Linked DNA regions of Stegostoma tigrinum. The protein of the gene in region 2 purifies or fractionates together with the protein of the main gene of each other region. This does not show direct contact. Links are inferred from orthologs where the notes say so. Each region holds a gene or a part of one and is shown on either strand. Other genes may lie near its edges.

Evidence for each region. The genes of interacting proteins can lie anywhere in the genome.
Region 1: the proteins of sap18 (region 2) and FACT complex subunit SSRP1-like fractionate together in Homo sapiens (co-fractionation; 3 studies listed by BioGRID and IntAct, with this or other methods). This does not show direct contact. The link is inferred for Stegostoma tigrinum from reciprocal best matches to the Homo sapiens genes SAP18 and SSRP1.

The regions. Positions count from the first base shown.
Region 1 is NC_081399.1:1,281,981-1,289,610, reverse strand, and holds the start of FACT complex subunit SSRP1-like, read left to right. Parts: upstream 1-4,563; 5' UTR 4,564-5,468; coding exon 5,469-5,528; intron 5,529-6,901; coding exon 6,902-7,087; intron 7,088-7,630. UniProt on the Homo sapiens protein: Component of the FACT complex, a general chromatin factor that acts to reorganize nucleosomes. The FACT complex is involved in multiple processes that require DNA as a template such as mRNA elongation, DNA replication and DNA repair.
Region 2 is NC_081359.1:73,360,356-73,367,595, forward strand, and holds the start of sap18 (histone deacetylase complex subunit SAP18), read left to right. Parts: upstream 1-4,224; 5' UTR 4,225-4,244; coding exon 4,245-4,358; intron 4,359-7,240. UniProt on the Homo sapiens protein: Component of the SIN3-repressing complex. Enhances the ability of SIN3-HDAC1-mediated transcriptional repression. When tethered to the promoter, it can direct the formation of a repressive complex to core histone proteins.

The sequences.
Region 1 (7,630 bases), on a different chromosome or scaffold from region 2:
CTTCACAATCAGTACGACCGGTGCTGCCCATTCCACACCCTGGGCTGGTTTAATAATTCCCTCACTTCCCAGCCTCCTGGTTTCTGCTTCGACCTTCACCCCTAAGGCACCGGGTGGGCCCTTGCAGGATTGTGGGATTGTTTCCTGCTCCAAATGTGTAAGTTTGCCTTGGCTCCTGCCACAGTCCCTGGACTTTCCTGAAAAATTTCTGGGTGTTTACTTCAGACTTCACTCAGGCAGCCATTTTTCAATCGAAAAATGTGAGCCAATCAAGGTGGATCTTTCTCAATTTCACCCCCATCAAGGTTGAGCCTGAACCTTTTACTACAATCAGTGCAGTGATAACTGCACTAACTGCTTATTGAAGGAGACTGGAAGTGAAGTCGTAACCCTACTTTGTGACGGTTCCCCACCACATCATCTCAGTCCGTCCAAGGGTTTGCACAAATAGTCCAGAGCAGATCTTGTTAAAGAGATAATGGGAACTGCAGATGCTGGAGATTCCAAGATAATAAAATGTGAGGCTGGATGAACACAGCAGGCCAAGCAGCATCTCAGGAGCACAAAAGCTGACGTTTCGGGCCTAGACCCTCTCTGATGAAGGGTCTAGGCCCGAAACGTCAGCTTTTGTGCTCCTGAGATGCTGCTTGGCCTGCTGTGTTCATCCAGCCTCACATTTTATTATCTCAGATCTTGTTAAAGTCTGGTTCTGCAATCACTGATGATTCTGTGCCGGTATCAACATCCATGATAACTGCGTGACCATTGAACCAGAAATTTGTTTTGTTTGGTCCAGAACAGATGCAATAGAGAGAGAGGAAACGGGAGAATGGATTGGAGTCTTTACAGGAACTAGGCTGTGAGGATGTATAGTCAGGTAGCGGTGGAAATTGGTTGGTTTGTACTTAGATATTAGTGGCCAGTCTGTCCGCAGAAATAGAAACGGATGTTGAGGGAGGGAAAGCAGGATGGACCAGTTGAAAGTGAGGGTTGGGTGGAAAGTATAAGCAAATAGATTAAACATTTCCCATTCCGGACCAGAGAGGGAGGCAGCACTGATGATATCATCAAGATACAAGACAAAGAGTTGTGGGTGCGGGCCGGAATAGGACTGGAACAAGGAATGTTCCACGTGCCCCATGAATATTCAGGCATAACTAGGTCCGATGCAGGTACCCATGGCCATCCCTCTAACCTGAAGAAAATGAGAGGAGTTGAAAGAGTTGTTGAGGGTGAGGACAAGCAATGGAGGGTGTTGGTGGGTGGGGACGGTTTAGGCCTTTTCTCCAAGAAGCGGAGAACCCTGAGACCACCGGGGTGTGGATGTGTAGAAGGATTGCACGTCCATTGGAAAGAGGAGGCAGCTGGAGCATGCAAACTAGAAATTCCGAAACTGACATAAAGGTCAGAGGAATTGCGGATGTAAGTGGCAAGGGGCTGGACAAGGGGAGAAAAATTGAGTCAACGTAGGAAGAGAAGGGTTCTGTGGAGTAGAACTCACTTATGTGAGGGTCTGACTATGAAGTCCATGCTCCCAGAGAGGGAACGTAATTTACAACACGCGTCACTTCATCATTATTTTCTATTAAGTTAATGTTTGTTGTTTGTCATTCAACATAATTATTATTATTTATTGTCTATTACTTATTGTTGGTAATAATTATTATTAGATACTTGTTTAATAGTGTTAAATATTTGTTATTATTCATAATTATTTATTATTGCATATTTATTTTGTGTAGTTTAACATTATTTGTCATTCATTTCTTGCATATTATTTATTGTTATTTAACATTTAGTTTTTTTATATTTATTGTCTACCATGTATTTGTTTATCCTTTACTAGAATTTACCACATCTGTATTGTTAGCCATTATTTAAAATTTAGGATGTTCATACTGTTTTCGTTTACATTTATTGTTCATTATTATAAATACTTATTGTTGTTTAGCATTGTTCAATAGGGAAGGACTTACAGGGTTAATAGTAAGGTCCTGGGGAATGTTGCCAAACAAAGAGACCTTGCAGTGCAGGTTCATAGTACCTAGAGTTGCAAATAGACAGGATAGTGAAGAAGATGTTTAGTACACTTGCCTTTATTGGTCAGTGTGTTGAGTCTCGGAGTTTGGAGGTCACGTTGTTGGTTGTCTTTACAGATTGTCAGTTAGGCCATTTTTGGAATACTGTCCTTATTTCTGGTCTCCTTGCTATCGGAAGGATATTGTTAAATGTGAAAGAGTTCAGAAAAGTTTCACAAGGATGTTGCTGTGGTTTGAGGGTTTAAGCTGTAGGGAGAGGCTGAACAGGCTGGGGTGTTTTCCACTGGAGCATCAGAGGCTGAGGGGGTGACCTTATAGAGGTTTATAAAATCATGAGGGGCATGGATAGGGCGAACAGTCAAGATCTTTTCCCCAGGATAGGGGAGTCCAAAACCAGAGGGCATTAGTTTAAGGTGAGAGGGCAAAGATTTAAAAGGGACCTAATGGTCAACTTTTTCGTGCAGAGAGTGGTGTGTGTATGGAATGAGCTGCCAGAGGAAGTGGTGGAAGCTGGTACAATTAAAACATTGTGAGAACCAAAACTTGCTCACAAACTCAGCCTGAGACAAAGCCTTGGAAACAAGAACAATTTTATTCTGTGCGATCATGCTATACAGGCGCACACTACAAAGCATGTGAAGCATTCTTACACAGTTTACAAGTTGCGGAATCACACCTCCCTGGTCCCATTGGTCCAATCTTATCCTATCATTCTCCATCCTATCGGGCCGCCCTTGTTTATTGTTCCCCTTTTCTGCCGGCCTAAAACCCCATCCCCCTGTTTATTCTTTCCTTATTGGGTTAGACTGGAAAGGACAAGTTATGCAGGTGGTCGTGCTAACTGCCGCCTTTGCAAAACCTAATCGTTGGTTAATAATAAACTTCTGCTACAAAATCTTGTGACTATTTATGTAATGGTCCTCTTTTGCAAGACCACACCATTCATCATTATCTGCAGAAACAACATTTCTAATCTCTCACAACATTTAAAAGGCATCTGGATAGTTACATGAATAGGAAGGGTTTGGAGGGCTATGGGCCAAATACTGGCAAATGGGACTAGATTAATTTAGGATATCTGGTCAGCATGTATGGGTTGGAGCGAAGGGTCTGTTTCTGTACTGTACAGCTGTAGGACTCTATTATTTGTTTATTTAGTAATTTATTATTTAGCGCGATTGTCATTTCAATTAATTATTCACAGGTATTATTTACCATTATTATATTACTATTTTTTTGTTCACAGTTTATTATCGTTGATCATTATTTACTCTGCATTTATTGAATGGTTTATTATAATTATTTATTTCCCATATTTTATATACTCAATAGTTATTCATTCTTCATTTTACTATTAATTATTTAGAATTGTTATTGTATGTTATTCACTGAGTATTTATTTCTTAGTGTTTATTAATATTTGTATATAATACACTATTTACTGTATATTTTTTATTAATGTTTACCGTTGTTATTTATATTTACTGTTTATTATTTACTATTAATGACTATCTCACGATTTGCTATATGTTTATTTTTGGTTATTGTTTGTTCATTATCTATTATTTAAAATTATGAATCAATATTTATTCTTTTTTTGTTTATTTTAATCATTCATTGTACATTTGTTATTGTCTACTGTTATTCGTCATCTTTGGTCATTTACAACGTTATTGTTTATTATTTACTGTTATTTATGATCATTAATTTGTTTTTTTTTCTTGTTTATTAATTTTTAAATAAAATTCTGACATTGTACCTGACCTCTGACCCCTCCAAACCTGAGCGCGGGAAGGAAGGTCATGAAGAGAAAAATAAACCAGAGGGACTGCTCCGGCTTCTAGTTCCACTTTAAATGAACAGAAGGAGCCAGAGGGGGAGAGAGAGAGAAAAAGAGATAAAATATACCGAAAAAAAACTTTTTATAAACGCTCAACCGTGTCTGAACCCACCCTCCGATTTCCGCTTCCGGTCTGGGGCGGTGCTTCTGTGACCCCAACGTATTTATTGTTGGATGAGCCTCGGGCATTCGTTTCCGGTTCCGGTCCGGCGCTGACGTGACCCCCTCCATCGTGTTTACGGCCGGGAGGTCGGCGGTTTCCGGTTCCGTTCTGCTCTTGGCGCTCACGTGGTGCTGGCGGGTAGAAGCGGGCGCGCATCAGCTCCGGGCCGAGTGGCAGCGTCTCCTCCCGCATCGTCCGGGTCCGGGTCCGGGTCCGGGTCCGGGTCGGGGGGTAGGGGGCAGCTGAGGGGGAGAAGAGGACAAACGGCTGCGGGGTCACTAGGCCCCTCCCCCAGGGCCAGAGCGGGGGTCATTAGGCCCCTCCCCTAGGTGAGAGGGGGGGTCACTAGGCCCCTCCCCCCAGGTGAGAGGGGGGTCACTAGGCCCCTCCCCCCAGGTGAGAGGGGGGGTCACTAGGCCCCTCCCCCCAGGTGAGAGGGGGTCACTAGGCCCCTCCCCCCAGGTGAGAGGGGGGTCACTAGGCCCCTCCCCCCAGGTGAGAGGGGGGGTCACTAGGCCCCTCCCCCCCAGGTGAGAGGGGGGGTCACTAGGCCCCTCCCCCAGGTGAGAGGGGGGTCACTAGGCCCCTCCCCCCAGGTGAGAGGGGGGTCACTAGGCCCCTCCCCCCAGGTGAGAGGGGGGTCACTAGGCCCCTCCCCCCAGGTGAGAGGGGGGTCACTAGGCCCCTCCCCCCAGGTGAGAGGGGGGTCACTAGGCCCCTCCCCCCAGGTGAGAGGGGGGTCACTAGGCCCCTCCCCCAGGTGAGAGGGGGGTCACTAGACCCCTCCCCCAGGGCCAGAGCGGGGGTCACTAGGCCCGTTCCCCCAGGTGAGAGGGGGGGTCACTAGGCCCCTCCCCCCAGGTGAGAGGGGGTCATCAGGCCCCTTCTTCCCCCCCCCCCAGGGCCAGAGGGGGTCACTAGGCCCCTCCCCCCAGGTGAGAGGGGGGTCACTAGGCCCCTCCCCCCAGGTGAGAGGGGGTCATCAGGCCCCTTCTTTCCCCCCCCCCCAGGTGAGGGCGTCTCAGCAGGCCCCTTCTTCCACCCCCCCCCTCCAGGGCCAGAGGGGGTCTCAGCAGGCCCCCTTCCCCCAGGGCCAGAGGGGGTTCACCAGGCCCAGCAGGAACAGGAGGAGGTCTCCGGGGAGACTGGGAACCCAGTGTTTTGGAGCAGGGGCTTGCCCAGGTACTTAGATCCCAGACGGAGAAAGACCATTTGTAGTTGGGTGCCCAGTCGGAGAGAGTCAAACAGGCCTTTGATTTAGAGCAGGGGGGCCCTTGGGCAAAGGGTCACCTGTGAAAGGAGCAGGTTGTAGCTACTGCCCAGTGCCTGCTGCTGCTGCTGCTGCTCTGTCCCCTTTGCAGCCCTGCTGGCAGCCTGACCGTATAGCTGCTGATACGAGGTGGGGTCCTTTCCCGTATAGGGCAACATGGCGAGCTCTGACATCCTCGAATACAATGACATCTACCAGGAGTTGAAAGGAACAATGGTATGTACTCGCAAGATGGTAAGGGGGGGTTGGGTCGTGGCTGGAGAGGAAATCTCAACGTCAGGACTGTGCAGAAGTGAATGCCTGTCTTTGGTGGGATGAGGTGGTGGAAGATACACTGTCTGGGTGATATCCACCTGGGGGGTGGCCTTGGTATGATCTTAGATATTTTTTGGATTCGTTGATGGGATGTGGGCATGATTAGCTGTGTCAGCATTTCTTGCCTGATCCTAACCGTTGAGAGTCAGCCACGTTGCTGTGTGTCTAGGCCAGACCAGGTGACGATAGCAGATTTCTTTCCCTGAAGGAGACTAGAGAACCGGATGAACCACCATCTGCTGCTGATTTGACTCCAGATCTCTGGATTAGTTGGCTCATGATACCACCACTAGGTCATCATCTCCGTTTGAATGGGGGTTGGGGTCACATCTGTCCTTGGGGTGGTGAGTGGCTGAGCTGGAAATTTGCATAATGACCACTTCCTGATCTCTGTCCCATAGTCTCCTCTCTGCACCCTACCCCACTCCAGGGGAGACCCCTCATGATAGTGAGCATCTCCCCCTGAGCCTTTGTGCTCGATGGAAAACCCTCCCAGAGAAGCTGCACGTGACCTGAAGTCATAGAGATGTACAGCATAGAAACAGACCCTTTGGTACAACTTGTCCACGGGGACCAGATGTCCTAAATCAATCTAGTCCCATTTGCCAGTATTTGGCCCATACCCCTTTAAACCCTTCCTATTCATAGACCCATCCAGATGCCTTTTAAATGTTGTCATTGTACCGGCCTCCTCCACTTCCTCTGGCAGCTCGTTCCATACCTGTGCCACTCTGTGCAAAAAAAAAGTTGCCCCTTAGGCCCCTTTTAAATCTTTCCCCTCCCACCTTAAACCTATGCTCCTCTAGTTTAGGACCCCCCCCCCCCCCCCCCGTCATGGGGAAAAGACCTTGGCTATTTACCCTGTCGATACCCCTGATGATTTTATAAACCTCTATATGGTCACCCTCAGCCTCCAACAGTACAGGGAAAATAGCCCCAGCCTATTCCGCCTCTCCCAGGAGCTCAAACCTTCCAAACCCAGCAATATCCTTGCAGATTGTTTCTGAACCCTTTCGAGTTTCACACCATCCTTCCTATAGCAGGGAGCCCAGAATTGAATGCAGTATTGCAAAAGTAGGCTCACTGTACAGCTGTAACATAACCTCCCAATCGGTATACTCGCTTGATTCATGGAACAGTAAAGGCCAGCGTACCGAATACCACCTTCACTGCCCTGCCTGAAGTCTGAGTCCCTGGTGGTGAGGGTGAGGAGGGAGTTCTGTCAGGGATTGTGTTGTAACCTGTGAGCTGTTCCTACCCACAACCCTGTGCAGATCGATGGACGCCTGCGTCTGAGCCGTCAGACAATTGTCTTCAAGAACAGTAAGACCGGGAAAGTGGACAGTGTCCAAGCCTCGGATGTCAGTGATGGAGTGTGGCGGCGTGTTGCCAGGGGTTATGGCATCAGGCTCCAGCTAAAGAATGGCAACCTCTGCAAGTTTGATGGATTCCGGGAAGGGGTGAGTGTGGAAAGACAGACCAAGCCTGAGGCTGTTGGGAAGGAGAATCTCCCTCCTGGCCCCTCTTTCTCCCCGCCACCCAATCACCTCTGGTCAGGAGAGCTCTTGAATTCTGTCTTGACAACTTGTTTTCCTGTCTGCAGTCACGCCACTCAACCCATCGCATCTATCCCTGTGCTTGCTGATCTTAGAGCTGATCTCCTCTTGTCCTGCTCCATCTGCCCCACTCCCTCCCTTAACCACGCACATGAGTAGGTGCACGGTATCCCACACTTCCACAAAGTGTTAGCCAACTGAGGGATATAGAGACTGGAACTGTGCACGGTGCTCCCAGTGTGGGTCTGACTGAGGGATATAGAGACAGGAACTGTGCACGGTGCTCCCAGTGTGGGTCTAACTGAGGGATATAGAGAAAGGAACTGTGCACGGTGCTCCCAGTGTGGGTCTGACTGAGGGATATAGAGACAGGAACTGTGCACGGTGCTCCCAGTGTGGGTCTAACTGAGGGATATAGAGACCGGAACTGTGCACGGTGCTCCCAGT
Region 2 (7,240 bases):
CATATAGAATTAGCCCCTACATATAAACCCATACAGATCAAAACCGGAAATGACTGTACTCACCATAACAGACGGGACAGTATAAATTCCCAGTGGAGTAGAATAACATCACTTCATCGGAACCTCCACTGATGGCGTCACCTAGCATGGTGACAAAACTTGTGAACAAAAACAAGCCAGCTCGGCGAGCAAGTCAACAACTTCAACCGCTACCTGAGGCTGAATCAGAATATTTGTAAACTTGGCACCCACTAAACTCTGTGTTGAGATATCAAGCCCTCCTTTTCATCAACTATATTGCCTTTTCCATCTTCAAGTCATCATCTGTTTCTTCCCCTGCTGCAGCTAATTTGCTGTTAAAATCTTAATTCATTCCCTGTTACCTGTAAAATTAATTGTTCTAATGATTTTCTGGCTGGACTCCAACATTTCATTCTCTATGAATTTGGACTTATTCAAAACTACCTATGTCTGAAGTTAGTGAGTCTCATTTGTCTGTCACCCGTTTCTCACTGACAGACATTTTCTCCTAGGTGACTAATGCATCAGTTTGAAAATTCACATCCTTGTTTTCAGAGTCCTACACAGCCACAGTCCATGACCTACCTGTGTTCTTTCCTCCAACCCCTACAATCCTCCAAGATACTTGTGCTGCTCCAATTCAGGCCTCTTGAACACCACCTGTTTTAATTGCTACAATGTTGGAGGCAATGTCTTCAAGTGCAGCCTGGAACATAAGATGTGGAATTTCTGCAACTAACAAACACCATACTGCAACACTACCGCCACTCACTTCTCATGACCCCCAACTTTTCTACTGTTCTTTCCTTTTTAAAAATGCTCTTTAAAACTTGTTTCTTTCAGACAACTTTCCAGATATCTGCATGATGTCAAATTTTGCCAAAGAATTATCTGCACTAGTAATTAAGGCAGTTATTTGAATATTAGGATTCTAAATAGCGAGAGGAATTTGGGATTATTCTAATTTGTTTATGTGGGGAAATTATTAGCATGCTATAAGATATAGAAACAGTAATAAGCTATTCAGCCCATTGTGTCCATTATTCAAGGAGATCATTGCTGATCAGATGATCATCAACTACACTTTCTTGTCTTATTCCCCAACCCTAGACTCCTTTAATAATTAGAATTCAGCTTTGAATATGCGTAATTACCCAGATTTGACAGCCATCCTCTGGTGACTGTCTGTGTGGAGTTTGCACATTCTCACTGTATCCACATGGGTTTCCTGCAGGTGCTCTGGTTTCCTCCCACAGTCCAAAGATGTGCAGGGTGGGTGGATTGGCAATGCTAAATGCCCATAGTCCTCAGGGATGTGTAGATTGGGTGGGTTATAAGAGTACAGGTCTGGGTGGGATGCTCTGAGGATCGGTGTGGACATGTTGGGCCGAAGGACCTGTTTCCACACTGTAGGGATTCAATGATATCTATGAATTCCACAGATTCACCTGCCTTAAATAGAAGTTCCTCCCCATGTCTATCTTAAATGGGTGACCCTTTACTCTGAGATTATGCCCTCTGGTGGTAGAATCTTCCACAAGGGAAAGCAACCTTTCTCTATCTACCCTGTCAATCCCACTAAGAATCTTATATGTTTCAATAAGGTCTTCTCTCATTCTCCTAAACTCCAATCAGTACACATTTTCTATAAAGAAAATCAATTGATTGATTGATTGAATGATTTAATGTCATGTGTACCGATGTACAGTGAAAAGCTTTGTTTACAAGCAGTACAGACAGATCATAGTAAGCAAGAATGCACCGTTCAAAAAGACTTAGACAGAGGCATACAGGTTATATTGCACAGGGCATGCACCAGGCAAGATCAATGTTGCAAGATCCGTATTATTTGAGGCTAGAAAGTCCACTCATTAGTCTAATACCAGCTGGGAAAAAGCTGTTCCCTCCATACACTAGACCAATCTAGTGAATCTTCTCTGGATTGCCTCCAATGCCAGCATATCTTCCTTTAGCTAAGGGGAAAAAAGAACTGCTCACAGTATTCCAGGTATGGTTTGACAAGTTAACAAAGTGTGGAGCTGGATGAACACAGCAGGCCAAGCAGCATCTCAGGAGCACAAAAGCTGACATTTTGGGCCTGGTCTAGGCCCGAAACGTCAGCTTTTGTGCTCCTGAGATGCTGCTTGGCCTGCTGTGTTCATCCAGCTCCCCACTTTGTTATCTTGGATTCTCCAGCATCTGCAGTTCCCATTATCAATGATTTGACAAGTACCTTGTTTAATTTTATAAAGGCCTCACTATTTTTATACTCCACTCCCTTTGAAGTAAGGGTAAACATTCCATTTGCTTTCACCATTAACCACTGAACTTGGTTTCTAATTTTTTTGTGATTTATGTACCAAGACTTCCAAAATCCCTTGTCCTGCAGTTTTCTGCAGTCTTTGCACATTTAAGTATTATTCAGCTCTTCTATTCTTCCTGCCAATGTGCATAACCTCACATTTTCCAGCCCTATATTCCAATAACTAAGCTTTTAGCCACTTGTTTAACCTGTCTATTTCCCTTTGATGACCCTCGGTATCATTGTCACTACTTGCATTCCCGCCTTTGTTTCTGTCAGCTGCAAACTTGGTGATCATGCATTCACTGGGGGTGAACCAAGTGACCAGTCATTGACATTTATCATAAACGAAAACAGAAGTTGCCGATAAACTCAGCAGGTCTGGCAGCATCTGTGGGGAAAAATCAGAGTTAGTGTTTCGGGTCTGGTGATCCTTCTTCAGAACTGATGGAGGCGAGGAAATTGGTGGTTTATATGCGGAAGACAGGATGGGGGAAGGGGGTGATGAGTAAATGGTAGTTGGGTATAGATCCCAAAGAGATAGAACAGTTGGACAAAGGAGTTGATTACAATCTGGCCAGGAGGGTGATTAGCTGTTTATGGAGACTGTCAGTGGCTGACAATAGGTAGTGTGAAATGACAGGCTATGTGATAACAAGGCCTGAAGTGTGGGGTGGGGACAAGGACGTGGGAGAGTCCAAACTCTAAAATTACTAAACTCCACATTGAGCCGGGTGGGCTGCATGGTTACCAAGTGGAAAATGGGGTAACAGAGTGTGGAGCTGGATGAATACAGCAAGCCAGGCAGCATCAGAGGATCAGGAAAGTTGATGTTTCAGGCTGGGACCCTTCTTCAGAAAATGGAGTGTTATGCTTCCAGCTTGTGCTGAACTTCACTGGAACACTGCAGCAAGCCGAAGACAGAGATATTGGCCAGGGAACAGGGTGGTGTGTTAAGGTGGCAGGCAACTGGAAGCTCAGGATCATTTTTGCAAGCAGAACATAGATGTTCTGTGAAGCAGTGATAATGGGAACTGCAGAGGCTGGAGAATCCAAGATAATAAAATGTGAGGCTGGATGAACACAGCAGGCCCAGCAGCATCTCAGGAGCACAAAAGCTGACGTTTCGGGCCTAGACCCTTCATCAGAGAGGGGGATGGGGTGAGGGTTCTGGAATAAATAGGGAGAGAGGGGGAGGCGGACCGAAGATGGAGAGAAAAGAAGATAGGTTGTTCTGTGAAGCAGTCACCCAGTCTGTGCCTCATTTCCCCAATGTAGAGGAGACCACATTGTGAGCAGCAAATGTTGCAGACTAGATTGAGTGAAGTGCAAGTGCTGCTTCCCTGGAAAGTATGTTTGGCCCCTTGGATGCTGGGGAGGTAGGAGTCAAGTGTGATAACAAGATGTAGACTGGATGAACACAGCAGGCCAAGCATCATCAGAGGAGCAGGAAGGCTGAAGTTTCCTCTGATGCTGCTTGGCCTCCTGTGTTCATCCAGTTCTACACCTTGTTATCTCAAATTCTCCAGCACCTGCAGTTCCTACTATCTGGGAGATAAGTGTTGCAGCTTCGGTGGTTGCAAGGAAAGGTGCCGTGGGGCTACTGGGGAGGTTGGTGTCAGCAGAGAAGGAATGTAGACCAAGGTATCCCGAAGGGCACGGTCCCTGCGCAAGGCAGACAAGGGAGGAGACGGTAAGGACAAGGAGAACCTTATCGTTGTTGAGGGAGAGACAGTAGATGGTTCGGACCCCGTTAAGAAATGATGGACTTTCGGTTTATATTTCATTGCCACGTTCCTTCGCTCTACTGCCAGTCACCGTGGGCAGTTGCCAGGAGCAAAAATGGTCGCCGCAGTTGTCACAAATAGTTTGTTGACATGCGCATGCTGCGTGCGCAGCTCTCGGGACTTGCTCGCTCTCTATGGTGCGGTCGCCATCGTTGAGAGAGCGGCGGGGCGGGAATATGGCGGTGGAGTCTAGAGTCACCCAGGAGGAGATCAAGAAAGAGCCAGAGAAGCCGGTGGATCGCGAGAAGGTGAAAACTGTTCGCACTGACGGGGGTGGGCGGGGGCTAAGGTAGTAGCGGCGACCCTGCAGGTTGAGTCAGGTCAGGGCCTGGGATGTCACCTCCGGGAAAGTGCACGTTGGATGATGCCGCTGCCGCCGCCTGAAAGTGTCCGGAGCTCGGATTCTGACTGTAAGGGTGCGGGCTCTCTCTGTCTGTCTCAAATGTGAACCATTTCTCACTGAGTGAACTGACTGAGGGCCCGCGGTCTACGCTGATTGAGGGTGAGGCCAAGATTTCCCCTTCGGTCCAGTTTTAGCCGGTAACTGGAAATTTCTAAATCAGAAACTAGGAAGTATTTTGTTTTTCAACCTTTGTTTTGTTCTGAATGTTTTTCTTTGTAATGTGTTGTGACGGTGCTAATAGGGTTTCCAGTTAATCGTAGAATTACGGCTAGGGACCAGTGCAATTGGAGCTATGGGTCGCCTACTGTTTAATTTCATTGACTGAAATTAGACTGGACATCGGGTACGTCGTGGAGGGGTGATGTGATCCCCATTTTGCCAGCGCTCAGAACAAATTTTTGTTTTCACATATAAGAACAAAAAAGGGACACACTGGTTTATGCAAATAATTTAGCCATGCCTGAATTTTGCATCCAATATTTTATGCCTGTTCACAGCATTCTTTTCTCCGCACATCTCAGTTTGGTAAACGTATCCCATTCAGAAGAAAGCGTAAATCTCTCAAATCGTTTCAAAATAGATGTGAAATTAAGTGGAGAATTTTGAATGCAGCAGGAAGCTTGTTTTTTTCGATAGCCTTTTAGCTTGTGATTTTTCTTAAAAATAAAAATCTGTTTCACTGCAGACTTTTGTGGGGTTTTTTGGTTTCTTTGAACACCGGACCCAAGTCGTTAACTCTGTTTTCTCCTCCACAGATGCTGCCAGACCTGCTGAGCTTTTCCAGCAACTTTTTGCTCCTGATTTACAGCATCTGCAGTTCTTTTCATTTTATAAGTCACATTAGAAATGGGTTTCCACAATTCAGTGTTTTTTTTTCATTATGGAAAGTGAATGTTGCAGGATACCTAACCTGAATTGCCTTGGTAAAAGTGATGGTGAAGTACCATCTTGAACCATTTCTGTCCTAAGAGTGTAGCGACACCCACAATGGTGTTAGGAAGGGAGTTCCAGAATTTTGATCCACAGTAGCAGATTAACTTGATGCTGTTAATTTTCCCATGTTTCAGCTACCCTTGTCCTTGTAGGCAATAGAGGTTTGGAAGATGCTGTCAGGGGATCCTTGGTAAAATACTGTGATGTACTTCGTAGGTGGTACACATTGCTGCCACTATGTCAGTGCTGAAAGAAGTGACTATTGAAAGTAGTGGTTGGGGTGCCAATCAGGTGGATTGTTTGGCCTGCGATAGTTTCTTGGCTGTTGTTGGAACTGCGTACAGGCAATGGACAGTATTCCATGCCGTTCCTGATTTGTGCTAGACTTGATATTGGGCAATGAGATTTACAACAGTCTTTTTCCCAGATTTTACAGCATTTTGCAGTGTCTTGTTTTTATCTTAAATCTGTGTCCTTTGGTTCTCGATTCTTCCACAAACAGGAATACATTCTCTCAACTCTGAACCACACAATTTTTGACACATGTCCTCTTGTTATCTCTAACAAGAACAACCACAACTTCTCCAATCTATCCAAGAGCTGAACTTTCCTATTCCTGAAATTATTCTCCCAAATCTTTTCTGCATACTCTCTAATGCCTTTACATCCTTCCTAAAAAGCGATGCGCTGATCTTGAGGCTGAGCCAGTGTTTTATATAGGTGTCTCAATTTTCTTCCATTTGTACTTCGTTCCCATTCTCATGAGCATACTTTAGAAACTCTTTCACAACTAGCACAAGAGTGCTGGAGGAACTCAGCAGATCTGGTAGCATCGGTGGTGATAAACAAAGTTAAATTTTCAAGTCTAGAATGACACAAATGTTGCCAAACCTGAGTTTTTCCAGTATTTTCTGTATGTTACAGATTTCCACTAACCACAGTATTTTGCTTTTATTAGAAACTCTTTTCCCCTTTCTGCCCTTTATGCTATTACTGTTCAGTCGCTACTGGATTAAAGTTTTCTGTTGTAACTACACTATAATTCATGAATGTTCTTGCAGACTTGTTCCTCTACATCTTTTCCACTAGTTAGTTGCCTATAGGGTACATCCAGAAGTGTAATTATATTCCTCTGTTCCATAGCTGTAAGACTCCTCTAGGATAACCCCTCTCATTAGTACTTTAATTTCTCTTTAATTAGTATTGCTCCCCACTTTTCCAGAGTACCTTGCATCTAGGAATATTTAGTCCCTCACTCTACCTTACTCATTCAAGGCATCCATTATCACCACAACATAATTTGCATGTGGCTATTTGTGTCTCCCCCTCACCAGCCATATTTGGTGCACTTAATACATTCACATGTATCCATGTTAAAACTTACAGCATGCCCCTTACGCTGACAGTATTTCATGTCATGTTGTATCCTATTTGAGTTTTTTTGTCTTTACAATTCATTGTGCATTTTGTTTTGCTTTGCTAATATTCCACGCTTGTACCAATTAGTTTAAACCCACTGAAGTAGTGTTAATAAACCACCTCAGCGGCTGCTCACTAATCAAGTGCTGATGTCTGCTATTTCTTTGCTTAATAGTGCGGCCAACTGAAATATTTTTAACTCTTTTCTAAAAACCTTGGATTTAAATTTACTGAAAAATTCATTGTCCCTTAACTATTTAATTTTAACTGTATCTATCAGGTCAAATTAATTGAATACTGATTGTAATGGAATGATGGCAGGTGCTGACCTAATCGTATTATCAGTAGCCTATTAATCTAGATATTTAGGTAATG